Linked DNA regions of Sus scrofa. The protein of the gene in region 1 purifies or fractionates together with the protein of each later gene. This does not show direct contact. Links are inferred from orthologs where the notes say so. Each region holds a gene or a part of one and is shown on either strand. Other genes may lie near its edges. The genes, in order: SNX4, SNX30 and SNX7.

Region 1 (3,651 bases):
TGAGCAAGGCCAGGGATCTAACCTTCATCCTCATGGATGCTAGTCAGATTTGTTTCCCCTGAGCCATAACACAAACTCCAGTACAGTGTTTTTAATTAAAACATACCTCTGAACTTTGAAACTGAACAAGGGAGAAAAAACCCAAAGCACAGCAGTTAGCACCAAGTCTCACTGTGTTTATAGTCGAAGTTACTTTGGGTGTATTAAGATCCTTCTTCACTGGCACACTTCCTGCACATGTAGCCTATGACCCACCAGTGGTATGTTTGTCAGTCTCTTTGGGGCTTTGATACAAACCTGGGGATGATCTAGCAAGAAAAGAAAGATGTCTCCTCTTCTTAAAACCTGCTGTCCCAGATAAAGTCCTACTATATAACACAGGAAACTATATTCAGTATCTTGTAATAAACCATAGTGGAATAGACTCTGAAAAAATACATGTTGCAGTTCCTGCTGTGGCACAGTAGGTTAAGAATTTGACCGCAGCAGCTCGGGTTGCTGCAGAGGTGTGTGTGCCATCCCTGACCTGGTGCAGTGGGTTAAAGGATCTGATGTTTCTGCAGCTTTGGTATAGGTCACAGCTGTGTCTTGGATTCAGTCCCTGGCCCAGGAATTTCCATATGCCTCAGGTGTGGCCATTAAAAAAAAAAAATATATGTATAACTGAATCACATTGCTGCACACCAGAAACTAAAATAACATTGTAAATCAACTATACTTCAATAAAAAATAAATTTTAAACAATATTAAAAAAAAATCCTTGTGCTGTCTCATAGTGGAGACTGCTGTTAACCACTGCTGAAGAAATTTAGGCAAATTTAGGAGTTCCCACTGGCACAATGGGATCGGCAGCATCTCTGCAGTGCTGGGACACAGGTTCGATCCCTGGCCTGGTGCAGTGGATTAAGGATCCGGTATTGGCACAACTGAGGTGTAGGTTGAAAACTGTAACTCAGATCTTATCCCTGGCCTGGGAGCTCTGTATGCCTCAGGGTGGCCAAAAAAGGGAGGGGAAAATATTTAGGCAAATTTATAGTTGAATATGTGATAATTCCTACTTTTTTTCCCAAATTAACTTGCCACCTGAAAAGCTAACCTTTTGGCATCTATATCGTATTTTATATTTGAAAGAGAGAGTTCACTTTGGTAAATAAAAAGATTAGGTATCAGTATTGATGATCATTCATCTTTGTATACAATGTTTTTAGATTTTTTTCTTATGTATTTCTGTATACATTTATTCTTGGTCACTTATGTGAAATATCTTTTTTTAATTTTTTCTCCTATTATCTTACCTACATTTTAGAGTGTATGGTACTTGTTAAAATAGCATCTAGAAAAGTTTAATGTACTACAGTCTGCTGATTATAAGGGGCATATCATTTGTTGCTGTCATTTAGCAACCTCTAGCTACTCAAGAAGTTCAAGAAAGTAGCTTGAAATATGTACTAATAATGGATTTTATTTTAATAGGTCGTTTTTTTCAATATTAATTTTTGAAGTTTTTTGTTGTTCTTCCATTTCCTTTGTTCAGATGACAGAAAATAATTTTTGGTTGAAGAAGATAGAAATTAGTGTTTCAGAAGCAGAAAAGCGAACTGGAAGAAATGCCATGAACATGCAAGAAACATATACTGCTTACCTCATTGAAACAAGGTGAGTGATGAGAATTAGGCCTAGGTTTGGCTAGAAAAAGCTTTGGTAGTTGTTGATGCAAATTCTGTTGTATAGTGGAATTGTTTACAGGTCATTGTTTTTTTAGAGAATTTTTTGTTGTTTTTTTTTTTTTTTTTTTTTTTTGGTCTTTTTAGGGCTGCACCTGCGACACATGGCAGTTCCCAGGCTGTAGTTGCTGGCTTATGCCACAGTCACAGCAGTGCCAGACCCGAGCTGTGTTTGTGACCCAACACCACAGCTCACAGCAATGCCAGATCTACAGCTTGACATTAACTAAAAGTTGAACTTTTATCATTCATTTATTACCTACTCTTGGGGCACTAGTAGAAAGTCCATTTAGCAATTGCCTATAGTATTAATAGTTTAGTACACTAAGAATGAATAAGGCTGAAGTCTCTGTTTGATTTTATTTTTAAATTTTTTATTTAAAATATAGTTGATTTACAGTGTCATATCATTTCTGCATACAGCACAGTGACCTAGTCACACCTATACACACACACACACACACTCTGTCTCTCTCTCTCTCTCCTTCACCATCATGGTCTATCCCAGCAGACTGGATACAGTTCCCTGTGCTGTACAGTAGGACCTTATTGCTTATCCTTCTCAGTTTAATAGTTTGCATCTACTAATCCCAAACTCCCAGTCCATCCCACTCCCTCCCCGTCCCCCAGGTAGCCACAAGTCTGTTCTCCATGTCCGTGAGTCTGTTTCTGTTTTGTAGATAGGTTTAATTGTTCTGTGTTTTATTTTATTTATTTATTTATTTATTTATTTATCTTTTCTAGGGCCACACCCTTGGCACATGGAGGTTTCCAGGCTATGGGTCTTATTGGAGCTGTAGCCGCTGGCCTACACCGCAACCACAGCAGTGCTGGATCTGAGCCTTGTCTGTGACCTTCATCACAGCTCACAGCAGTGCTGGATCCTTAACCCACTGAGCAAGGGCAGGGATCGAACCTGCAACTTCATGGTTCCTAGTCGGATTCGTTAACCACCGAGCCACGACAGGAACTCCAATTGTTCCATATTTTAGATTCCACTTATAAGTGATATCATATGGTATTTGTCTTTCTCTTTCTGATAAAGTTGCTGATTTAATTTCTCCAGAGATTTTGTTTTCCTGTTCATAGAATATGAACCTTTTTTTTTTTTTTTTTTTTTGTCTTTTTGCCTTTTCTAGGGCCGCTTCTGCAGCATATGGAGATTCCCAGGCTAGGGGTCTAATCGGAGCTGTAGCCACCAGCCTATGCCAGAGCCACAGCAACAAGGGATCTGAGCTACGTCTGCAACCTACGCCACGCTTACGGCAACGCTGGATCGTTAACCCACGGAGCAAGGGCAGGGATTGAACCCGCAACCTCATGATTCCTAGTCGGATTCGTTAACCACTGAGCCACGACGGGAACTCCTAATATGAACCTTTTAAAATGGGTAAGAGTACTGTATGTAATAATAGGTAAGAATGACTCCATGGCTTGGGAGGCTATATGTTGTCTTTACTTAATTCTTCTAATTTGTAAAAGAGGGTTATGATACTACCTACTTTATTGTCAGGGTTAAATCAAATGTTTCATGTAAAACCAATTATGTGCTTTTTATGTTTGTTCGTTTTTGCTTTTTAAGCCTGCACCTGTGGCATATGGAGGTTCCCAGGCTAGGGGTCCAATCAGAGCTACAGCTGCCGATCTATACCACAACCACAGCAATGACAGATCTGAGCCATGTCTGCCACCTACGCAGCAGCTCACGGCAACACAGGATCCTTAACCCACTGAGCGAGGTCAGGGATCGAACCTGCAACCCCATGGTTCCTAGTCAGATTCGATTCTGCTGCGCCATGATGAGAACTCGTAAATATTTGTTAAATGATTGGGTAAATTGGGTGGTTTGGGGTCTAAAGAAAATCTCTGTGCCTTTAGACGTTTTCTAGTGACTAGGCCCTGCCTTTTGTGGCCATTAAAAAAAAAG
Region 2 (3,751 bases), on another chromosome or scaffold:
CGCTGTGGTACAACCATAAAAAGAATGGAGGGGGGAAAAAAAAAAAAAGACTCTCTTTCATGGAACTGTCCCTGTAAAGGAAGCCAAAGATATGTGACTTAGGCATGACTTCCTGTGCACCAACTAGATCTTGGGGGTATGTGTCCTCCCATTAGTTAGTAGCAAAATGCCCACACTTCTGAATCAGATGTCCTCCAAGAATGGATCCTTAAGCAGCTATTTAAAAAGAGCCATCGGTTGTAGCCAGCCTCCAATGTGACCCCAATAATCCCCACCTCCTGATATCCACACCCTCTTCCCATGCTGTACCAATGATGGTCAATGTGACCTAGAGAATATGGCAGAAGAATGTCACTTCTGAAAGGAGCTTATACAAGACTGTGGCTTGAGTCTTGGGGTCTCTTCATCTCTTGGATCACTTGCTCCAGGGGAAACCAGTTGCCACATCAAGCAGCCCCATGAAGAGGAACTAAGGCCTGCCCACAGCCAAGTCAGTGTGCTTGGGAGCTGATCCACCCTCAATCCAGTCTTCAGTGAATGCAACTTCATGAAAGACCTGAGTCAAAACCACTCAGTTAAGCTGCTCCCAGATTTCTGACCCACAGGTACTATTTTCAGACGCAAGGTTCTGGAGTAATTGGTTATACAGCAGTAGATAATTAATTCACTATCCTACACAAACCTGAGAAAGAAATTGGAGGTTTAACTTCAGTTCCCCTCCTACATGCATGTAGCACCAAGTTCTCTGTCCTTAAAAAAGCATCAAATTACTCATTCAGTCATTCAGTCAATTTCATATTGAATGTCAAACATGGGCAAGGTATTTCCAAGTGATATAAGCCTTCATACGGTCTCTAATCTTCTATAAAATAAAGAGAAATACAAAGAGCGCCCTTCCAAACACAACTCAAGCTGTTCAATCCATTGCTTTCATTAGCTTAAGATGTCTCTTTCCTAATGCTTTGCCGACCCCTACCCCATCCCCAGCCCCGGCACTCTTTGCTTTCACAAACCCTCTGGGGAAGGTACATCTCCAGCTATTCTGACTGCTCAATGCACTCATACTCATTTTTACTGTACCACATGTCCTTCCATCTAAGAGGGAAAGAAAGTTAGGTTCCCTGATTCCATTTAATTTTGGGACAAGGAGGAATCCACTTAACTATTTTACTAGGACGGGACAAGCGTGATCACAGGGGTTGAGAACAATTCTAATTCCTGCAATTAGTGACTAAGTGGCAACAGTGGCGCTGATACAATCACAGCTCAAGTCCTGGTCACAGCTGAACTAGCAACTCTGCGGGGGGAGGGGGGACGCCGCCCCTTACCCCTCACCGGACTCTGCTGTCTCTCAAGGCAGCGGGAGGGTCATGCTGCTCTAAGGAAAACCAAGAGCCTCTCTCTACACAAAGAAGGTCAAAGGGCGACCTTTCTTTCCATCAAACACAAAACCAGCCTCTGCCAAACCCTAAACAGTGTGGGAGATCGGCAGAGGTGGATGGAGCTCCAAATAGGAAACCACAGGGATACGCTCCTCGCTCCTCCCGCAGCCAGCTGGGGTCTGAGTCAGGTGACTCCTCAGGGCACACAGCAAACCTAAACAAAGATCTCACTCCCCACAAGACAGAACGAGGGTAAGACGCCTCTGGCAGTGAGACCACGGAAAACCATTAACTCTTGCTTCTTGGCAATCCCAGCAAACTGGAGGAGCTACAAGTGACACGGTAGCTCAGCTTTCAGGGATGTGTCCGGAGGATCCGAGACCCCATCCCAGGACCTAGGACCTAGTACTGCACCCACGCCTCCGGCCACAACCGCCAGGCGGGACCCCTCCCCACCAGCTGTCACTGGCGCTCCCGACCAGTCACAGCCGGGCAATTCCGTCCCTTCTGTCCGCTCCCCCTGCGGCTGCGACCCCGCGGGGGCGGCAGAGAGATAATTTTCCCAAGGCTCTGGGGCGAGGGCACGCCTGCCCCCGGAAAGGAGCGCCAGGGTGGGCGCGGCCCGTGCCCAGTGGTGCTCCAGGTATCTCGTCTCCCTAGGGAGCGAAACGATTCCCAGTCCCACGTGCCCTACCTTGTCGCCGAAGCTGCGGGCCATCAGCAGGTCCGGACTGGGCGTGCTGTCGCCGCCCACGGCCTCCTCGCTGCTGGAGCCGGCCAGCGGGTGCGGCATGTCGCGCAGGGAGTGGGGCCCCGTGGACGGCAGGGCCTTGGGGGGCCTGCCCGACATGGCGCGCACCGCTCGGGACTCGCCGCCGCCGCCGCTTCCTCCTGCTGCCCGCCGCCGCGGGCTCCCCCAGCGCCCGGGCCAAGGCCCCGCTCGGCCGCGGCTCGGTCGGAGGCCCAGCACCAACCGGTCTGGAAGCCGCCGCCGCCGCCGCCGCCGCCGCCACCCGCGGGCTCCTGTCTGCCCGCGCTGGGTCGGCTGAACTGTGCTACCCAGCTCCGCGCCGCGCGCCCCGACTCTGCTCCCGAGCCCGTGGCGGGTCCGCTCGCACCTTGGCCCCGGCGCCAGCCCAGCCCGCACCGCCACGCCGCCCAGCCCGCTCGCGGCCCCGCCCCCGCGGCGCCCGGCCGCTCTGGGAGGGGGCGGGGGCGGGGAGAGGAGGGCGGAGGGAGGGGCACGGGGGAGGGGGGAGGCGGGCAGCTCCGCCCCCGGCCGCCGTCCCGCAGGAAGTGCGCCGGGAGCCCTCCGCCGCTGTCCTCCGAGAGTCCAGGCTCGCCTCCGGGAGGCCGGCCCTTGCAGGCTGCGCGCAGACCCCCGGAGCGGATATTTAACGGAAATCAGGGGTGGAGAAAGACGTTGGAGGATCTTGTTCCGTTCCACCGCGATCACTGGTGCACCCAGAGGCAGCCGCGCTTGGAGCTGGGGGCTTTAGGACACGCACGGGAGTGGGGATCTTCTGGCCTCTAAAATAATCCAAAATGGAAGATATTACGACGCATATTATAAGAATGGCGTAAAAAGATTATGAGGCTCCCAGGGGATCGAGAACATCGGGCAAGGAACCTGGAAGAGAATTCGAGGAGGCGTGTGGGGTTTCTTCCGATGCAAGATCCCCGTGGTTTTGCATCTGCGGGTCACCCGGGTTTATGTAAGGTTAAACCTCAGAAGAGTGAGCATCAAGAAATAAAGGCAGGGAGTGCTACCCAGGATCAATGACCCTTACACTCACACCTTGACCGAGGCTCCCGTTAGTTTTCATTCTTTTGTGCTTCCTTTCCAGGCCTTTGGCTGGGCTGGATTCTGAGGTTTTTATGTGCCAGCAGAATGGAGATTGCCAAAGCCTCTTGGCTCTTTGAAGTTTACCTCCTTTTTCCACCTTACCTGGCTTCACAGCTTCTGCGCTCAGGGCCAAGTCTGTAGAGGTCCTCAACCTGCTGTAAGAACAGGTCGATACTCACAAAGTAATGGGTAGAGGGGCCCGTTGTGAAGGGAGCACGTTTTTCTTTGCCCCTGTCGCCAAACACTGGGTTCGTCCACTTTCACCCGGCTAATCTTGAAGCTGGGATTGACTGTGGTCTCCACCGCGCTGTTTTTTTCTAGAATACCTCATCATTCTATATACTTCAGCAGGAAGAGAATGCAGAGGGTTTATGCTAACACACAATAACACCCAGGGATTCACGGAGCTTCAGAGACCTTACCTTGTTTTCTCTAGTGCAAGTCATCTGGCCTCAAGGCTTGAGTTCTCATCTTTTCTCTCCCCTATGTGGGTCTGTCTTGGTTGTGGAGAACAGGACCAGGG
Region 3 (3,651 bases), on another chromosome or scaffold:
GACTCCAGACCCTTAGAAGCTGTCAGAAACATTCTCTGCCATCAATAGTTGCAGTAACAGCTTTGCCACCTGTGACTTGTGCTGTTTCCGATAATGCTTTGCTCTAGCAGATGATGTGGTAGCACTCCTGGATGGCTGTGTTGCCTGGTCAGGGATGGCATCTGTTATTATTTGCACACAAAATCATCCTGACATGGAGATCAACAAGTTGATATAGTTTGTGTTAAGACCTCAACAAAAGAAAGAAAGTCTGGACAAAAGATAATGTGTTATTTAATATTGGGGTAAATAATATATAATGTTATCTGTGGATTTGGTTGTCAGCATTGTTATGTATAGATTTGTGTGTGTGTATATGTTCTTTAACTTCTATTTGATCCCAAACCCATATTGAAACATGTGCCACAGCCATCATCAGAATCCCTTTTCCTCCTTCTCCGGGTTCTTTTTTAGTATGCGGTCCTTGTGAAGGGATGCTCTTGTGTGGTGTAGCCTTTTATAGCATCTCTACTTTGCAAGCCTGTAGCTCACCCTCCTTGGTTAACTGTGAAACAGCTAGTTACATATTTTATTAAAAGTCCCTCTCCAAAAATAGCCAGTGGAGATAGAGTCACAGCTTACCCAGGGAAGTTGGTTGAGGAGCGATGGTCAGGTTTGCCAGCCATGCTAGTGACTTTAAGAAGACAAAGCACAAAAGAAACAAACAAAAAAGAAGACAAAGCAGGTTAGGGCTTTGCAATGAAGCCCCTGCAGTCAGACTGGCGGGACTCTGATCCTTGTCCACCAGTGCATTGCTCTTGACCTCAAGCAAGCACTTTAACCATTCTGCGCCTCTGTATTCCTCTGTAAGATGAGAGTAATAATAGAACCTACTGCGTAGTGTTAATGTGAGTTACATATATAAAAATGCAAGGGAGTTATCATTGTGGCTCAGTGGTAAAAAACCCAACTAGTACCCATAAGGATGTGGGTTCGATCCCTGGCCTCACTCAGTGGGTTAAGGATTTGGCATTGTCGTGAGCTCTGGTGTAGGTCACAGACTTGACTCAGATCTGTCCTTGCTGTGGGTGTGGTGCAGGCCGGCAGTTCCAGCTCTGATTGGACCCCTAGCCTGGGAAGTTCCATATGCCATGGATGTGGCCCTAAAAAGACAAAAACAAAAAAAAAGCAAGTATTGTACCTGCAACATATGTAAATGTTAGCTATTATTATTATAAAATTTCATGGTGTTAACGAGTTATATAGATAAAAAAATGGAAGTATTGTACCTGTGGCATATTAAGCTCTTAATAAATGCTCGCTATTATTATAACTAATGAATTAATGGAGTTTTCCATTTTTTTTTCTTCTTGGGAATAGTTTAGACCCTGAGAAATCTCCTAATCATTTTTCTATTAAATTTCTGTTATAAAATCTAGAGTTCATCTGAAATCATCCTTTTGATCTTCTCCAGTATCTCTTTAAGCAAGATCCCCTCAATTAAACTGTTCTTGGAAGATCCATGCTCTGAGGCAGCATGTGGATGTGTTTTACATGAGAACTTTGAAAAGGAATATTATTAGCAAGGAGACCTGTACCCTAAATTCATCTATTTCAAATCAATAGTTTGCAAAAAGATGTATAAGAAACATGTTATTATCTTTATTTTATTCTTCTAATTAAGTTTCTTTTTTGTTGTTGGGTCTTGGCATATCATTGTTGCTTCATCACAAATACTGTATTTCTTTTGTTTGTTTGTTTCTAGGAGCTCTCTTCTCACAAGAAGCAAGGGCCTGGATTACTTAGCAGGATGGGGCAGACCGTCAGATCGGTGGCATTGTCAATGAGAGGAGTTAAAAGCCGCCCCGAGGAGTTCATGGAAATGAATAACTTTATTGAAATATTTAGCCATAAAATAAACTTGATAGATAAAATATCTCAGAGAATCTACAAGGAAGAAAGGGGTACGTAAAGTCCCTGAAATGGGATTTCAAAGTTGTTGACTTTCTGATGGATCTTTTACATGTATTGATGTAGTGGGAGCAAGACAGCATCAGCTTAGCATTTCTTTTTAGTTATTCTTAGGATTTCCATCTCTGCTTAGTGTCCATCTGTTATTGTTTATCTCTTAGAGCCTTTAAACGTATTAATCAGAGTCATTTTAAAGTCTAGTCTGATAATTCCAGCACCCCTGCCAAAGCTGGTTCTGATGCTTGCTTTCTCTTTCAGTTGTGTTTTCTGCCTTGTATGTCTTTTTTCATGGCAGCAGGACATGATGTACCGATAAAACGAACTGCGGTGAATAGGCAATAGGCGTTGGTGATGTGCTGAGGTGTGGGGGAGGGGCAGTGTGCTCGGAATCCTTGCTGAGGGTCTCAGGCTTTTAGTGAGGCTGTGCCCGTGGACTGGGAGCTTCACAAAAGTTTAGTTTTTTTTTGTTTTTTTTTTTTTTTTTTTTTTTTTTTTTTTTTTTTGAGCTCTCATTTTCAAGGAGAATGCACAGTGGCCCGAACTTGAGGGCTTTCTTGGGCTTTCAGATGTGAAACCTGCTTGTCAAGATGTCATTGAAAACAATGGAATTTTTTAAGAAGTAGTTTTGGGAATCTAAGCTACATAGAGCATTTCATTCATAAACCATGAAGGATCTGGAGATCATAACTAGTGGTTTCTCTTTTTATATCTTATTCGATTGTTTTCTTTGATTTTGCTTTATTTTGTGTTCCTCAGCTTCTTTGGCAAATATGTATTGACCACATGTTATGCTGCTGCTTTGTGCTGAAGAGTTAAAGGGGTGATGAAACAGTACCTCCCTTGAGCTCATAGTCTTAGTTGACAAAGGAGTTATATTAACAGACAAATTACCATGCCCCCCCATTAAATGTTTGCACACGAAGGTGGTTTAAGTGCTATCTAAGCATTGTTTAGAATTTCAAGGAAGCTCTCTATGTAAAAGTAAATACTGCATGGGTTTAATGACACACAATGATATACACACAACTTGAGAGAAGAAATAAAGGAGAGCATTTTATTTTCTAGAAATATTAGCTATTATGGCATCGGGAGAGTGCAGTTTGGAGGGGCTCTCGTGTTCATTAAGCCTAATGTCTTCCTTAGGTGACAACTAATATTTCTATTGTTTTTACATTTTTAAAGTTTTTTTTCCCGTTTACTTGAACATGGAAACTTTTGAAATTCTAATAGTTTAGGAAAAAGTTTAATGTAGAGCAGTATGACATATTTCAACTAACCCTAATGAGTAGTAAGATTAAATACAGAGAATTTAATTATGTTGATATGAATAGTAGACCAAAAATCTCTCTGCGTATACATTCCCTGCCTTTGAAAAGCCATCTATCATTCAAAGTTGATAGCGTAAAAGCAAAAATATAAAAATACACAGATTTTAAATGAAATCCAAATTTTTGAATAAATGGCTTATCAAGCATTGAGTAGTCTTTTGTTCATCATTCTTTCATTGATATGAAAATATTTATTAAATACATTATGTATTAGGCTTTGAGATTAAAAAATAAGACTCAGCCCTGTTTTAAGGAGCATATGTCCTAGGAGTATGAGAGTTATGCAAGCAGTCATAATAGAGTGGGGTAATAGAAGTATTAAATTATGATAGGCTTTAATAGACATATAAAATTATAATAGGCTCACTGAAGA

Evidence for each region.
Region 2: the proteins of SNX4 (region 1) and SNX30 purify together in Homo sapiens (co-immunoprecipitation; 4 studies listed by BioGRID and IntAct, counting the BioPlex papers as one, with this or other methods). This does not show direct contact. The link is inferred for Sus scrofa from reciprocal best matches to the Homo sapiens genes SNX4 and SNX30.
Region 3: the proteins of SNX4 (region 1) and SNX7 purify together in Homo sapiens (affinity purification with mass spectrometry; 3 studies listed by BioGRID and IntAct, counting the BioPlex papers as one, with this or other methods). This does not show direct contact. The link is inferred for Sus scrofa from reciprocal best matches to the Homo sapiens genes SNX4 and SNX7.

The regions. Positions count from the first base shown.
Region 1 is NC_010455.5:134,837,422-134,841,072, forward strand, and holds part of SNX4 (sorting nexin-4), read left to right. Parts: intron 1-1,534; coding exon 1,535-1,656; intron 1,657-3,651. UniProt on the Homo sapiens protein: Involved in the regulation of endocytosis and in several stages of intracellular trafficking. Plays a role in recycling endocytosed transferrin receptor and prevent its degradation.
Region 2 is NC_010443.5:253,427,258-253,431,008, reverse strand, and holds the start of SNX30 (sorting nexin-30), read right to left. Parts: upstream 2,549-3,751; 5' UTR 2,233-2,548; coding exon 2,077-2,232; intron 1-2,076. UniProt on the Homo sapiens protein: Involved in the regulation of endocytosis and in several stages of intracellular trafficking. Together with SNX4, involved in autophagosome assembly.
Region 3 is NC_010446.5:119,217,827-119,221,477, reverse strand, and holds part of SNX7 (sorting nexin-7), read left to right. Parts: intron 1-1,744; coding exon 1,745-1,943; intron 1,944-3,651. UniProt on the Homo sapiens protein: Involved in the regulation of endocytosis and in several stages of intracellular trafficking. Together with SNX4, involved in autophagosome assembly by regulating trafficking and recycling of phospholipid scramblase ATG9A.